2 linked regions of the Lepisosteus oculatus genome follow. The protein of the gene in region 1 purifies or fractionates together with the protein of each later gene. This does not show direct contact. Links are inferred from orthologs where the notes say so. Each region holds a gene or a part of one and is shown on either strand. Other genes may lie near its edges.

Region 1 (8,452 bases):
CTTAGATGTTCCATCATTTATTTAGAAAAGGCTACATTTCTCATAAAAAACAGCAAATTATACTATGACTATAATGACATCAGAAATTTACCAGTTTCCAAGTTTCACCGTCTGTTTTGGATACAAAAAAATAACTAAATGTGAAATGAAAATACTTTTAACAGCCAACAACCTGTAAATATTTTTCAAATAACAGCTGTGTCATATTAGAATACAAGTGAACAGCAGGGACACCTGAATTAAAAAGAAACACAATGAAAGTAAAAGAAAATCAAGAAGAAATTCTCAAGATTTTCTAATCAGAAGAAAAAAACAGGAAATTTCAGCTCAGGAGAACAAAATTATCTTTTTCTTCATACCAGCAAAAGAAAAACAAATATTGGGTATTATTTTCTAGGACACGAATACTTAACTCTCTTACAAGCATGATAAGAATTCAAGTTTAAGAACATGTAGTCTCAAAGGTGAGTATTTAAAAGATACAGTACACACAAAGAGAAGGGTTTTCCCTTTATGGAAGGGTAAAAATTCAATTAAATTTTAAATTTTAAGATAATGTTAATCAAAAATGTATTTTTTTCCACAATACACAAGAGACAGGTCTAACATAGGCAGACATATTTATTAATTTCATTACCTCGCTAAATTAACTACAACTGTGACAATTGATCATACTATTGCAAACTAAACTAATGCAAAGAAACAACTACTTTATAAAAACAACAGATTGACTGAGCTCTTATTTCCTATGAAATATGACAATTCTTCTCAGTATATGAAGTTCTTTGCTTCTACAACGCTGACATTACCCGGTTTATTTATTAGGGTCATACTGAAGAGTCAGTAAGAAAAACCAAAATTGTGAGCAATACTGAAAAAAAAAACACTTTAAATTATTATTCAGTGGGAAACGCTTAGACATTTGTATAAACGTGTAAATGATGTTATGTATTACAACCAAACCTGTTTATTATTATTTTTTTGCTTTAGTTCCAAAACACAGTAAACTGCCATATACGCGTCACATTAAAGACAAGTTTTAAACATTTAAAGACACTGTAGTGTATATTTAAACCACCTGTTCATCCGTTATTTTACGGCTAAACCAATAATTGAATAGGGGAGAAAATCTTAAAAGGGTATTAAAATTAAGCAAACAGCATTGTTAAATCTTTCTCTAGCAATTGTACTTCTTTAACCATAGAATGGGCTGCTGTACATTACAGATTACAGTCTGAACCCATTTTGTTCCTTTTCGTAAAAAATAATGGAATTTACACAGCGCTCGTTTAAATCAATTTTGTGCTGGAGGTACACAAAACACAAAAAAAAATATACGATACGGTTGTTACAGTTAATCATAATGACTTGCAAAATAATTTTTATGATAAAAACACTGGAGGCAGCTCACACCAAATGAAACGCGGCGTATCGTGATCGCATCCTAAAAAACAGGAAACAATGGACGATCGGCAAGTCTGTATGAAACTGGATCACACATACTAACAGGATTGTTAGAAATCTGGATAAAATTGCATTTTTCTCATCTTTATAGCTACCTATCTCATTTACGGGTCCAAGAAATGTATTGAAAAAGTGCTGGCCTACACAAAGCTCTAAAATTGTTAACCACACCCCGCATGCTGAAAAACGAATATGGAATCCCCTTCGAGGGAATTTGGACTATATAAATACAGTTTATCAATTGTTAAAGGGCAATGCGAAGTAACGAGGTTTCGCAAAGAATTTTGCCACCTCTCCTTTATGTCACTGATGTCAAAGGCCATGCTCTTGTTGTATAACACCATTAGTAATTAATTATTTGTATATGCTATGCTATTCACATTTCTGACCTGCTGCTTTGCTAACTAAATGCGTTGAGGTGTGCAATAGAAAACCGGTTAGCGCCCCATATGTAAGAGAGAACAGGGGTATAAGGAGGGGGAAAAAAGACTTTGATAAGTTGTTGGGTGGAAACAGACTATGACTCTGATCTGTTTTATATTTGTTCTTGTTTGATCACGCCCCCCTCTAGCCTCCCCGAGATCGAAGACAGCTGTGGACATGTTCGACTCGCGTTTTTTTTCTTCTTCAGACCAAATCTTATTCTCACAGTCCACCGATTACTTAATTAAGATGCTTAACCATTTTCTACATTATACTGGTCTGTCAGCAGGCTGCCTGTGTATCAACGTGTATGTCGTCGGGAGAATCTATACAGCACCCAGCTATCTGACATGTACCTAATACGAACTAACCTTTCTTGTAAATTGCTACCAATCTAAGAAGTAAATGAGTCTGAACAATTGCAGTCTCTGTTAAAGGCATGCTGCTTCCCTTGTATACACAAACACACATAATAAAAGATTTCACGTTAGTACTATTTGATCAATTTGAAACATTGTACTACAAATGGTAATAATCAATTGACTGAGGAAATATTTAATAACCAAAATGATGGCGGACTGGAATCCAGTATCTCACTATCTCTACAGACCATAGCCACCTTACACGAATTGGAGTGCAACGCTAATTAAAAGGAACTGATCTTCCCTTACTTTAACATGGCTTCTTCTTTTTCCTCTTCTTCCTTCTGTCTAACCATCACAGCCATTATAATTTTTCTTTCCTCCTCCGTCAGATGGCTCAGGTCCGGCAGATCTTGCATCGAAGGAGGCGCGGTGGGTGGGCGAGGGCCGTGGGACCCCAGAGAAGCAGACATGTTATAGCCCTCCTTATCGTGCCGTTTTCTTAATAAAACCCGAGTACAAACCCACTTCTCACAATATAGTCCACGGACAGAGCAGCGGCTCTTGCAAACAGTGCAAGCCTTTCATGGTTGCGGGCACCCACGATTGTGCTTTTTTTTTTCAGTTCGACTTCCCCCACCCCACCAAAATCCACCTCCAATTACTGGTAGCCCATCTTTAATCGGGAGATAACACACAGTAAATCAGCGGCGCATGGGTTTGGTTGCTGTGAAATTTCCCTACCACTAGGCTCGGGTTTGGTGTTTGATGTTGGCTAGGCGGAGTCCGTACGTTGCTCTGCTCTTTGCTACTGTTGCTGATGCTGCTGTCAGGGAGATGGAACAGTCAATGGGACCGCAGCCCCTCAAGCGCGCACCCCTCTCATGCACGAATACGCGCACTCACATTTGAGAATGGGACTGCTTGTACGCGCACCTCTCCCCGTGTGAACAAGCTGGCGGCGCGCCCACCTCCCACCTCTGCCACCCCGGTTCCCCCTACCCCCTCTGGGCTCGTGCACGAATAAATCTCAGCAGGAAGTACAAAGCCTTTTCCCGTGCGCGTCCGTGTTTCTATTCTACTGTCTTGTTCATTCAGGATCCGAGCCGGAGGCAGTCCTGGTACCGGGAATTCACTGTCTGAAAGACGGGCGCAGTATCTACAGTAGTAGTTGATAACCACCACTGCTGTAAAATGTTCAATATATTGTAAAACTATACCTTATATTTTTTTAGGTAAGTACAATGCATCACGCCCTTAATTTGAAAGAATGATGTGCACGTTTCACTCCCTTTAATGCACATCTGTCATCTGTATTTTACTGGTAATAACACAATGAGTTATATTTTTTTTTCATTCTTGTATGTAAAGAGGGGTGTGTGACTTTGAAAATGTGGCTCTGCGCTCATATGTTCTACGTAGCTTCCAGCAAAAAGAGGGTAAAGATACTGAATTTGATCAACGTAAACATCTGAGCATAGGGAGATTTATAATCGATTAAACATCAGCAAATCTCCTGAAACTAGAGTGAACGTTCAAAGAAAGAAAGTAAACTAAGAAAGTTAATCGATAAGAGAGAGAGATCGCTTGGAAGAATCCCCAAACACCATTTGAATTTTCCTTCATTATTACCGTGTAACAAAATTTCAGTGTCTATCATCAGATCTAAACTGAAGACAATTTGCAGGATCTGTTGAATCAATTCAAAGTAAATATGTATGGTTTTATTAGGATGATTTACAATTCTGATTGAGATTACTTTTATGCGCGTGTACTTATTATATGCTTATTAATATTTATCATAATCATGAGGCTTTTGACCACCCATACTATTAGACAAAGATTTAGGAAAAGTCAAATGGTTCTAGAAAGCTATGAAAAGCTGATACAACACCAAAATAAAGGACAAAAGTCACACGATGGCAGTCATACTGTAGTTGGTTTTTCCGGGAATCTTTGACTTAAAAATGTTCTCCAAAAACACAATTGACAGAGATTTGAAACTTGAACTACAGACTTCCTTTATAAGTTTGATTTATGTTTTTTCCAAGAAAACTTGATTGATCACTTGATTTGATTAAAAAAATACTCAGCTGTGTCTGCATTGTTAAGCTATCAAAGTTATTGAGGAGAAGTAGCTACATAAAAAAGACAGCCATCGTAATCCAACAGCAATTTCTAGATGTTTGCATTCATTAGAACATGTGATAGAATATAATGTGATAAAGAATGTAGGAGATCCACAGATCTTTAAGTAAAAGAGACCTATGTCTAATATAACATCCACAGATTAATTCAGTTGATTTAAATTTCTTTGGCCATGGCTCTTGAACTAGTGTTATAGTCACATGCTCTATCAAAAAAATCTTCATAACCTCTGACCTCTCCACATTGTCAAATGCAAAACTGTATTGTAGAATCTTAGAGCTGTAGAGGTCATCATAGTGTAAAATGGCTATATTCCCAGTCATTACTCTTTGCTGCTTTCTTTTAAAGATTATTATTATTATAGTAATTACATCCTGTCCAGGTTTCCTAGTTGTGCTCATTGTTAGCTGTTGTTAAACTGTTTTAACACAACCTTGTATTGGATTAAGAAAATGGGTGGATGATTATTCTGGTATTCTGTTCTCATTTGGTTCTGATGGACTTGGAAATGATAGTAGGCTTTTCATCAATGTTTTTTTTTTATTTGAATGTGATTTGTGGGGCTATTTTCCAATAAAAGTGGAGGCATGTGATGCTCAGACTGTTTAACAGCTGGAAGTCTGGAAAGGAATTGGAAATCCCCAAAATTTCAATTTATATGGGTAAGCTATTTTTTAACAGCTCCATAAACAAACCGCACACAGGCACGCAGATACCATTGCATTCCCACAAGCACCTGATCACTCACTAATGAGCTTCACTCACCTTGTCTATTTAAACTCCCACTCTGCAACTTGTCCTCACTCACTATTGAGGTTTCCTCAGCCAGAGCTACACATCCAGTTAGCGACTTACTCAGACTTCTCATTCGTTCTTCTGACCCCTTGGATTTCTGATCTACTGCTTCTGATCCCCGACCTTGCTCTAGCCTCACGATTTGGATTACATTCGCATAGGAATTCAGTTTTCTCTCTCTGACTCTGCAAAGGGTCCTAAAATATGCACTACACATGACAGGCTCTCATTACAAACAACATTATTCATTTACCAGTGATGTTATACATGGTTGCAATTTCAACTGCTACAATTTTCATAAAATAACCATTGATTCAGGACCATGGACAGAACTTATACTGTAGCTGATCTGTGGTTCTTTGGAAGAGAAGATTCATCTTATCTCTGTGAGCCTCTTGCTTACACCAATAATCTGTTGCATTCAACTCTACTTCCTGAACACTATCTTCCCAAAACCATAACAAAGCATTGAAAATTTGAAACAATGGCTGAATTGCATAAAGTTTTTAAAAAATCTAGATCCAAGAATCAGATGCACAAAATAAACTATTGTAGTAACCTTTGCTTGTAAGCAAACATACACAATTTTAAAGCAAAAAAAGCCACTAAGGTTGTATTGGCCTGCTATACATTATGCAAAAAACACAATTTCCTTGTAACTCCAAGGTAGATAACATGGGTAAAAATGTATTTAAATTCTAACACTAGTAAATATTTTTACTCTGACTAGATTAAAAGATTTTGTCTTTTAAAATTACATTAAGAACTGGTGTTATTAATGTATGTCCTGTTTTTACTATTGCACATGTGCACAATAAAGATGACTATTCTGTTGTTATAAAAGATAATTCTCTATTGTGCTAAAAAACAATAGAGCATATAGTAATACCCGTAGTCTCTCTTCAAATTGTGTTTTCACTTCAGGCTAGAAACAAAAGTTTTTAGTTATTGATTTTAAAACAAAAACATCACAATTATACAAACAGTAAATCTTAGGATAATACTAGCAGCAAGACATTCACTTACAATGTAGCACAAGTATACTGTAGATCGTCTTAATGCTTTTATTTTGTTTATGATAATAAAATCCTTATAGGAGCAATGAGTTTTTCTTTGTTGTCAAAACATTTCATGTACTGTTATAGGTGTGTCATAAAAAAGCCTCTGTTTTGTCTTTCGTTCTATTAACAGAAACTTTCTGAAAAACAAACTATAAACAAAGTTAGATACTTGAAAAATAATAAAAACTGTAATAGCTGTTCTGATGTGTCATCACTGAGATGGTATTCAGGCATTATTTTTTTGACACTTATCACAGTATTTTATGTAAATATCTTTGTAAATTTTACACAATTTATCTTCCATAACTTAAAATTGTTATACATCTCGACTTTGTACTACATGAACACATTTCTTGTACAACCATTTAGAGCTGACAGAAACAGGAAATCAATAGAGAAGTAAAAAGACCTGTTGAGTCTGGGAAATATATGATACAGTACTATGTTAAAATAATATGATGAGAACAGAATAAAGGCTACAATGAGCTAGCTGCCCATCTGGCCTCTTTAGTGGTTCATATTTAACCTTTCTTATGCTATTACTTAAACTGTAATTGCAATTCCTAATCACGTAACATCCCTGCAGTCTGTGATTGTGCATCATCCATTTTTGTTTTGTTATTTATGGCTTTTTTTGCAAGAGGTTTTTTATGTTTAGTGTTCTAATGCTCTTAGCAGCTTTTAGCAGATAGCAAAACAGGATTCATGCAATTTGTTTAATTAGGAAGCTGTGATGTTTTAAGAGGTTGCTCCTTGAGGAAGACACCATTTTGGCTCAAACCCCAGGACTAATGGCGTTGCATTGGGTCAAGATGGCTGCCTGGTAATTGAAAATTGCAGCAGAATGAGACACAGCTGGGCTGATTGAGTCTGGAGCATTCTGAGAGAATGGAATTCCACGAGAAGGAAAAGAGCCGTGAGAATAATTCTCACGTGGAATTAGTCACATCTCTGACTAATCAGGAGGCTGTATCTAGGCTCATTGAGAGACAGGCAGAACCCTGAAAATGGATGTTGTTAGAAATGCATTTGTGTAGCTAACAGGCCTGTAGGACTGGTGAGCTCTGGAGCAGCTTTAAAAGGATAATGCACTGAGGTGTGCCACTCATGGGTCCTAGGCACAATTGGTAGGGTGTGTGAGTATCACATTTCTGAAAAACAGGAATAGCTTGCTGAACCTGGGCTTACAGAAGGCACTCAAATGAGGAGATGTGAGGAGGCAAAAAAAAAGCTGTGTATCTTTTTGCTTTGCTCAAGAGAGCCAAGACATTGCAGAATGATACATAAGAACATAATAAGTCAAGGTAACTTGAAATGAACATTCTGTGCCTAGTGTAAAAGAGTGCAAAGATCCAAAGAGTAAAAATATTAGTGCTGTCAATGTAAGACACAAGGGAGAGATCAGGGAAGACCTGAATATGTTGGGTTGTTTCCGGAAGGTGACCAATGAGAAAGCTAGGAGTCCTGGAGGGCATTTGAATGTAACGATTACATGAAGCCGGATCACTAAAAATGACAACAGGTCATGTGACGTGGCTAGCACAACTCAAATAGTGGGAAGGGTAGCTTGGTCACATGAATGTATTGAACTGTTTGACAAGAAACATTACAATTGACTTCCTGGCAGATTCAGCATTTTTAGATTAGTCAACTTAGTTACAGAAACATGTCTAGTGAAAGTACTGTAATAGTGTATATTTTCTTCATTTACTTTATACACTTTTCATGACTATTTTAATTAATCACTGAGGCAATTGACATCTAGTAGGATGTCAATCTCTTGCTTTTGTAATTGTATAATTAAGCACCTGTTGTCTTTACATACCCCCGTTTCTGAGGGTGAGACTGTAGATGTTGGAGGAGTTGAGTATGGTTTTTAATGGCAATTCTCATTGTGTTTATGAGTTTAAGAATGTGGCTGAAACTGCTAAGTGTATTCTTTAAACATTTGGCTATGGTTTTCTTTCTCTTCTCAGCACTTTTCTATTCACCTGATTAAACAATGCATTGCAGGTAAAAAAATCACTATGAGAGTACAATTCTGTCAAGTATTTCATTTTTGTTTTTTATTTTTATTTTTACACTTGGCCCCTGGTCCTGGATGTAACAAAATCTCAAATTGTATTCTTAGCAGGTGTGCCTGTATAGAAGTGGAAGAAATCTTTTCAGAATGTTATTATTCTATTGATACTTACTACC
Region 2 (8,466 bases), on another chromosome or scaffold:
GTTTGTATCGTGGGTGGTGCAGCGCACAATTTTAATTCCTTCTCTTTGGAATCAGTATACTGTATTTTCAGTTTCACTTCATAAAAATATTGGGCTTGCCATTCAACTAAAAATGTTATTTTTATTTCTATAGGTGCTCCAGACTACATTAACAAGCTACAGTTTGCTTTTCATTGTCCTCTGTTGCACTAGGGTTTGCATTTAATATCTTTGATCACAGTTTTACTTATTGTTCTTGTTCTGCTGTGCTTATATAGTAATTTAATTTGCCCTCAATGTTGTAAGGTGCTGGAATACCTTGTAGAGGGAACAGGAGTAATGCAGTGTACAGTACCCACACTGCACTACAGAACATGCAGGGCGCTTTATGCACATACAAGATTTTGTGTTTGCATATGTACCATAATTTGGGGGCTCAGAGAACACACTACACAGCTCCCTGGACAGCAACGAACTCCACTGGGCCAAAAAACTGGGTCCCCACATACGGCACTGTTCTACACAGCCCAGGCTTCAGTGCACTGACCCTAATACACAGAAATAAACTAATAACATGGTGACTCTGAGCAGAATGTAAACTACAAGAGAACAGAACGTGCAAGAAAAGCAAAGATTCTTAATGGGCCTTCATGTTCTACATAAGACAATGTGCAGCACACAGACTATGGTCAGCATTCAAGTATCGCTAGGAGCTTTAACAAATTTTGAAGCCTTTCAAAATGCTACATCATCACTATATTTTCTCCTCTTCATTCCAAACTCTATTGCTCAGATACTGTATATAAGGTTCAAATTTAAGACAACTGTGGACAGCGCTTTAGCAAAGATCATTCACAAATGTCTTCATTGTGACGATAGCCTACCCACACCCTAAACCTGTAGATGTAATTATTGTTTATAACAGTCTAAATAAATGATGAATACTTATAAAAAACGTGAACCTAAACAAGGTTTGGTCGAATTATATAGTGTAAACATCTGGATATTTCTTAACTTGATAAGAAGTTTTTATATACTATTAGATACAGTATAACGTAGTATCTCTTTCAATTCCTTTATTATAATGGCCCTAATGAGTCGCATTTAGTTGGTGGTGTTCTTTATGAAGATGTATAAACCTGAGGCCAGATTGCTAATCTGTACAGTGGTATGGCTAATGTTTTTACATCTTTTTATTTACTGATTTATAAAAGAGCATAGCGGCTACCACAATTAATTAAACTCTATGGTGCTCACATTTTGTGTTCATTTAGTAAGTACTAAGATGTACACTCATTTTGCTGACAAAGCAACTACCAGCAGTTCTCATTAGCCTTATTTGTCATTAAACATGCTTTCTATATTAATTGGCAACTTGGCTGTCTCTGAAACCCCAAGTAAAAGTTGTGGTAAATATGTGCATTTAAAGCTGTGTTGTGTTCACTCCTTAGTTTAGCTGAATTTTGCAGAAAATGACCAGATGCGGCACAGTACAGTACATATTGTTTGGATGGCAAGGACTGCAGTTTAAATTGTCTGTAAGCTTGCATCCGATAGAATCCAATATGAATATAAACAGACTATTGGGTACAGTTTATTTCAGATGCATGAAGTTTATACGAAGAAGATGGGCACTTGATGTTATTCATTAGAAAAATCTAAACTTTTTCAAATGTAATTATTTCCAGCAACACAACATCATAAAATGAGTATTGTATACAGATTCTCTAAAGCAAAAATACCATCAGCTCAGATTTGTTTGTCAAACGCAGTCATGGATTTACTAACAATGCCTAATTAGTCCAACTAATTAAAATCTAATTATACAGATACTAGAATAATTATTTACTGAGGTCATGAATGAAACATACAGTACTTGTGCAAAGTATTTCATATTACTAATCATGAAACTATTGTCATTTATTAATTACAAAGAACCATTGTCCTGACATGTGTGAACAGCATTTTGTGAGTATGATACTGTTCAAACTATTTTTTAAACCAATACAGATTTGATTTCAATAAGCAATGAGCTTAAGAAGAAGCATTTAATAGACACATGCCTTTTCTCTGTTTAATTGAATACAATCTGTCAGGGCTAGCGTTATCTTAGAGGAAACAGTGAAGGAAGAAAGAAGGATCTTAGAAATGTGTACCTTTTCACCACTAATCTATTTTTGTTCACTTTTTGTTTTCTGATACAAATTGTCTAATTAATAGGAACATCTCTCACATTTTCTTGGCAACTCTATAAACCTTAAGAAGAGGTCATTTCCCCTCATGGAGGACCAGATGAAAATGATTGAAGATCTTGTAGTCTTTGCTCTTATGGAGGTGCGCTTACTGAACTCCAAGCAGAATCTCTCTGAGGCGTGCTTTACGCTTCATAAACACTAATGAATTAATGCAGAGATTAAATTTTATTGTGCTGAAAAAATACACAAATGCTTCTTTAAAATCATTAAATAAAAGACTGTACCCTTTAGGTCAAGCTCAGATGGGCAGGGTAGTTGGCACTCCTGACTTGAGCAAGTCAGAGCTCTCACATCCTTGAGCTCCAAGTATACAGGACTGTACTTCATTCATTTTGCTTCAGTTACAACCCCAGCTGGCAAAAATGTACAGGGTAAGTCACTTTCGATTAAAAAAAAATAGCCAAATTAATTGCTAATCGTAATTAAATATTTTTTCTGAATTGGGAGTACCCTGCCCCCCCACACACACTCTCTCACTCAACTGGAAACGTGTAAATTGAACACTACTCCATATAAATTAAAGAATAGATGCCTGAGGCTGAAAGGGAGTTCTGTGGCTGGTTTGTGTTTGTGGCAGATGCCCTCTATAAACCTGTAGCAGATGATGAATCAGTTATAGTGGGCTCATGAGAAAATGAAGATCCATCCCAAGCTCACTATACTGTAGCTGTAAATCACAAGTCACTTCCCTGATTATTGTTAATGAAATGCAGGTTCCTGTCAATTCTGACTCATCTTAGATTATGCTTACCGTAAATCACATTAACGAAACCACATTACATCATTTCGAATGACAAAATCCAAAGAATGGCCCTTCACTTGACGAGACTCTATTTTTTAGCTCTTAATGTACTGTAGTTCCTGGGAAGCTCTGTCAGTGCTTGAAATTCTGGCGTCTGTGACATCTTCCTTCCCCATAGATCCAGGAGTGAGCTATTCTAAAGACTTGGCTGTACCCATTGCTTAATTTAATTATTGTATGTGGCTCATCAGCAAAGAATGAGAAAACACAGAATTCTCACAAACATGTCCTGGAATACAATTAATCTTTTCTTGCTTCTTTCACGTAAGAGGCCTCTGTCTGTTACTTGTTACACTTCCCAATGGCTTCTCCTGCCTCAATTTATTTACTGTGGAAAAAAAAAACCCCATGTACAGTACTTCCAGTAGCAAAACCTACATACAGTGAGCAATCAGGCTTTTCATCTTCAGGCAATCAGTCACACTTGAAATAGCTGCTGTGAGCCTCAGGGAAATATTTTAGGAAAATGGTCCTTAAGCACAGCCAATATGTTTGCAACACTTATCAGCAACGTAGTGAACCATTAGACTAGAGTGATGTATTTTTGTTTATATTGCTCTCACCAGCGACAGTACACACCCAGGGTACTGAAGGGTGGCGTCTGGGCTGTCCCTGTTGAATATATATTTTTAAAGATACAGTGTGATATTTAAGGGATTTTTTTTAATCTGCTTTTTAAATCTTTATTTTCCCAACAGTCTACATGTACTCCGTAAAACAAAAAAACGCAGCTCGCGTGAAAAGTCCAGCCTTTCGTGTCAGCTTTCATACAGCACAGTACGTGCGTGCGAATTGTAACTCTGCCATCGGGGTGATTTGCATCTTTGAAAGTATTTCCTGGTCCATGGGGAAAAGTGACCATTTTTCATTTGAAGAAAGTTATTATTTATGCAAAAGGTACTTGAAAATAAGTCCACCGCAATGAGCCACATCCCTCTCTCGCTCGTCGTGATCTTACTGCGGTTTTTACTGCAACGTACTTTGATGTACTGTACTACGGGGAACTGTAGTAAAGTGTATGTGGTATTTAAAAAGCACCAAAGCTCCCTGAAAGACAAGCAGCAACGACAGGGATATGCTACAGCCTTACACACAGGTATCAGGTCCACAGTGTGTTTGACAGGTGAGAAGACCCCGTCAGGAAACTGCGGCTGTATAGCCAGCAGCTGAAATTGAGCGCAGCGCTAAACGCCTCTTGCAGATGAGCAGACCTCCGGACTAGCGAAGAAAGGTATCGCTCACGTAAAGCGCCGGCTGTGACTCGTTCTCGCAGGACGGGAAATCTCTGAAGGAGAAACGGGCTGGCTGGCCAGGTGGCTGGCGAGGGCTGGGCAGCGGGCGAGCCGAGGCTCTCCCCTCTTGCTCCCTGTCATTGCTTGAGAAAATGTGGAGATCGGCCACTTTCTTCTCCTCCTCCTGATCCCCTCGTTGACCGGCAACATTTTTTTGTTTGCTGTTGTTGTTGAGACCCACACGTGCGTGTTTGGTCATTTCGCGGTGTTACGCCGTCCGGTGCGAAACAGCTGTTTTTTTTTTTGTCTCTGTGTGTGTGTGTGTCTGTCTCTTGTGTCTGTGCGGTCCCTCTGTTGCGCCCAGCGGCAATTGTATCTACTGTATCTGATACGGCATCTGATACAATCGGGATACAGGCGGGGGGCGGGAGCCGGAGGGGTGGGCGGACGGGCTGCCTTCGCGCACTGCAAGGGCTTGGCTCGCTCGGCGCGGTGCGCACAGCACACAGCACGGTACGTACCTGCCTTTATTTCAGCTGCCCCTTTAAAACCGTCTTGTCGCTGCTTCCCCAGTGTGGAGCACAGGAGGGTGTCCGCGGCCCAATGAAAGCGGAGGTCGAGAATGCTGGGAATGTTGAGTCAGGCTGGCAGCCAGTGAAGCCGTGATGGAGAAGAACTGACATTATAAAAGGGTATGAAACATTGCATGCATTTTTTTTTTTTTAGAAAAAATACAATTGCATTAAACGGTCTTGCTAATGCAGCTGCAGTTTATTCGCCGGCCAAGGGAGAGAGATGTCCTTCGCTTGGAAAGACTGCTTTATGCACGGCGGCATGGTGGCTAAATCTGATTTTTTTTTCCCTCTCTCATTGATAATTAGTTTTCTTTCGCATTCTAGGGAATTATTATGTCCTGGCAGAGCACAGAGGGTGGATATTTCAGCAGTGCACACCGGACTAGCTCTTCTGGGGTTACAAAAAAAAAATAGGAGCAAGCCAAGCTGAAAGTAAAAAAAAAATCACACCGGACTGTAGTGCTCTGTGCAGTCGTTATAAATTAGCCGCTTTTATTCTGATTGTAATGCAGCAAAGTAATGTACTGTCCGACTGCACAACTTTGAAATGTTGTTATTTAATAAAGTGTTTACAGGTAGTACTTTTTATTTCACCAGGACGGGCTATATTAGAAACTGCTTGTCGGGGTTGCAGGTTTTAATGTACAACTGTACACCTGGGCTATGAGCGCTTTTAGAGCAGGATAATAAATATGATCGCTTATTCCTGATCGTGTCTGCGATTGTAGCCAATTTTTTCTGTACACGATGCCATGTACTATGCTTTTCTGGAAGACTGCATTTTATGCCAGTCATTTATTAATTACCGTAGCGCAGAGGTAACCATTTCACCCGGCTTTTAACGTTACATGTGCACTTATTACTTCAAGGTTGGTATTAATCATCTTAAGTGATCAGTCTGATTAACAACTACCGTAGGTATATTTTAACGCGTTATTGATTTTTTTTTTAGGCGTTTGCTATCTACTGTATATAAGATAAAGGGGAGAATCTTGTTCTCTCTCAGACTAACTCGATTCTCAAGAATTGACATTTCTGGGTGAATGGCAGGAATATTGGCCAGTCGGGAAACAACCATTCTCCTTATGTGCTCGTAACAGCCAATCGTCCTAGCTAGGAGGAGGGCTTTTCAACATGCGGTTAGGTCTGCTCGCTACTACGAACCTCATTAAATCGGTGCAGGATGCCATTAACCCTTTAAAGGCAAGTGCAATAAATACACTTGTGTCCATAAAGATAATGTCAATTTAAAAAAATACAGAGACAGGGCAGTGGGAAGCTAGCGGATGTACCGGGTCCAAATATTCTTTTTGGGACCATTCCAAATTTTCCTGTAAGATGTCTACGATCGCAAGCAGTAAATCAACGTACAGCGAATGCTTTTTTTTTTTAAAAAAAGGTACATTCTGTAGTTAACAAAAAGACTAGACGGTAGTTGGATTATCGATCTCATTCATCGATCTTTTTTAGGGGCATTTGTCTTGGCCGAATAATATCGTCACATATGACATATAATTCATAACCATTCGGTCATTTATTCAGCTGTACTTTCTTTAAATCGAGGGTGAGCACCTTTTGTCGTGGTAGGTGGAATTTCGTTTATGGCTGTGCTATTCACTGTGTCTGGTTACATCATTGAGTGAGTACATTTCCTCCGCCGGCTTTGCTTTTCCTAGCATGCTCTCCACAGCTGGGAAACCTTGAAGTAAATTATTGTTCAAGATGAACAGACCCCGTTCACTCATCAGCTCATCATCAGTGCCGTAGTCCTAGGCCTTTGTAGAACAAAGATGTCATTTAGAAATGTTGTCCAGTTACAGTTATGCCACCTTTTTCTAAGGGAAATTATATTTAATTGCAGATTACCTTTGGGGAAATTCAGATCTAATGGTAGAGCATACACTGGTAAGGAAGAGGTGACAGCTTAAGTTATTGTATCATTTCTATCATGGGGTTGGCATACAGGATGTGTGGAAAACTGAATTGTTGGCTGCTTAAAATCTGTGTGGAACAGTGTTTATGGTTCTGGACTTATAACTGGAAGGTTGTGGGTTCAAATCCCTGGTTAGATGCTGCACTTGTACCCTTGAGCAAGGCAATGAACATTCTTTCCAGTTAAAATACAATTATGTAAAATGGGGGCATGTGTTAGTTGTCTTTTATAAAAGAACCAGACAGATAAATACGTTGTGCGCACAGTATATACTGTATTAAACATCTGGTTCGTTTGTTCTGGCGGAAAATTGTGTCAGAAATGTCGAAATCGGAATGGTAACTGAGCTGAAGGGTGTAGTTCAGTGAGCACAGCCTTCCTGCTCCAGTGCCCCGAAGTACGCCTCCGAAGCACCCCTCCAGTCTTCCGTCCCCGCGTTTCCAAGATTCCCTTTCACAGTCACAGCTGCATCTCCGCTTCGTGTGCAGTGAAGGGCCCTGGAAACGAGCCCTCGTACTTAGAGGACAATCAGGCAGATTTCTTGAGCACTTTGTGACGGAATGCAATTTTCACCATTTTTGCGAGAGAAAAATCCAAACCGTTTGTTTCTCTGAATTGGTTGCAAGAGGTTTTTCTGACTCACTGGGTCCTGATGGTGACTATATGGGCTTTTGGCTTCTGATTTGTTTTTTGTTTTTTTGCTTCTATATACACATACGCTGTACTGTTATCTTTTCTCCATCAAGAAAAGAAAACATTTGACAGAATTCTAAAAATCTCTTGTGGTCTTGTTTCTCATTGGTGGTGAACCTGTTTAAAAAACAAAAAACCCAAACAGAACAAAACAGTACAAGCCCCCTGTCCTCGGTGGTTCCTAGTTTCTGCCTATGGACCTTGATGGTAATGTACTGTAAGTGATGGAAGAGCTGGGCAGCAGAGATTTGAGCACATCAGCAGCAGCTCTTTAGATCTCCACAGTCTCCGTCTGGAACCCTGGATCTGACCAGTAGACAGTTCCTTAGACAGTAAATAATGTCAATCTAGGGCAGTGGTGCCAGGAGAGGGGTTGAAAGACGCCTAACACAGCACCAGCATCTTTCAGGCTCCGTTTTTTTGTAAGAGGCGGAGATTGAAGTCATTATTTAGTAAGGACGCCGGTGGGGAGCACTGTATATATCTTTCTTTAGAGCAGGAGATATAAAAGAGGCAACTTGTTTTTCTAAAAGTTAACCACGCTGGGGCATGCCTAAAATGTGTATATAAAAAGTCCTTAGCCTCCCACACACTGAGCACACTTTAAGGACTGGGTACCAGTTATAGGATCTAAGAGTGGTCAGGTCTGCTCTCTGAAGGACAGACAGGCTAAGTCAGTCATTCATGGACTAGGAATTTTGGAAGCCGTATTTATATCATTCCAAATATTCTCCTACAAAATTTCGTCAACTACCTTATATACTCTAAAATGTACGTATCCCTACTGGCAACCAGTAACAGCTGATAAAGGTTTTTTTTAATGAAACCTCCAACAGAAAAAAACACACGTTTTTTTGTCTTTTTTGGGATTATTTTCTGAAATCTCCTGAAACCTTTGCTGAATGCTGGTATAACACTGAATTCTTGATGTCCAGGTTTTAGGATCATACTGTAGCTCATCCTTTAACTTGCTCCATTTAGTCATATTCGGTGAGTC

What was found.
Region 2: the proteins of rims1a (region 1) and ERC protein 2 purify together in Homo sapiens (affinity purification with western blotting; 3 studies listed by BioGRID and IntAct, with this or other methods). This does not show direct contact. The link is inferred for Lepisosteus oculatus from reciprocal best matches to the Homo sapiens genes RIMS1 and ERC2.

The regions. Positions count from the first base shown.
Region 1 is NC_090712.1:11,315,900-11,324,351, forward strand, and holds the start of rims1a (regulating synaptic membrane exocytosis protein 1), read right to left. Parts: upstream 3,186-8,452; 5' UTR 2,723-3,185; coding exon 2,559-2,722; intron 1-2,558. UniProt on the Homo sapiens protein: Rab effector involved in exocytosis. May act as scaffold protein that regulates neurotransmitter release at the active zone.
Region 2 is NC_090699.1:64,252,587-64,261,052, reverse strand, and holds the start of ERC protein 2, read left to right. Parts: upstream 1-4,732; 5' UTR 4,733-4,960; intron 4,961-8,466. UniProt on the Homo sapiens protein: Thought to be involved in the organization of the cytomatrix at the nerve terminals active zone (CAZ) which regulates neurotransmitter release. Seems to act together with BSN. May recruit liprin-alpha proteins to the CAZ.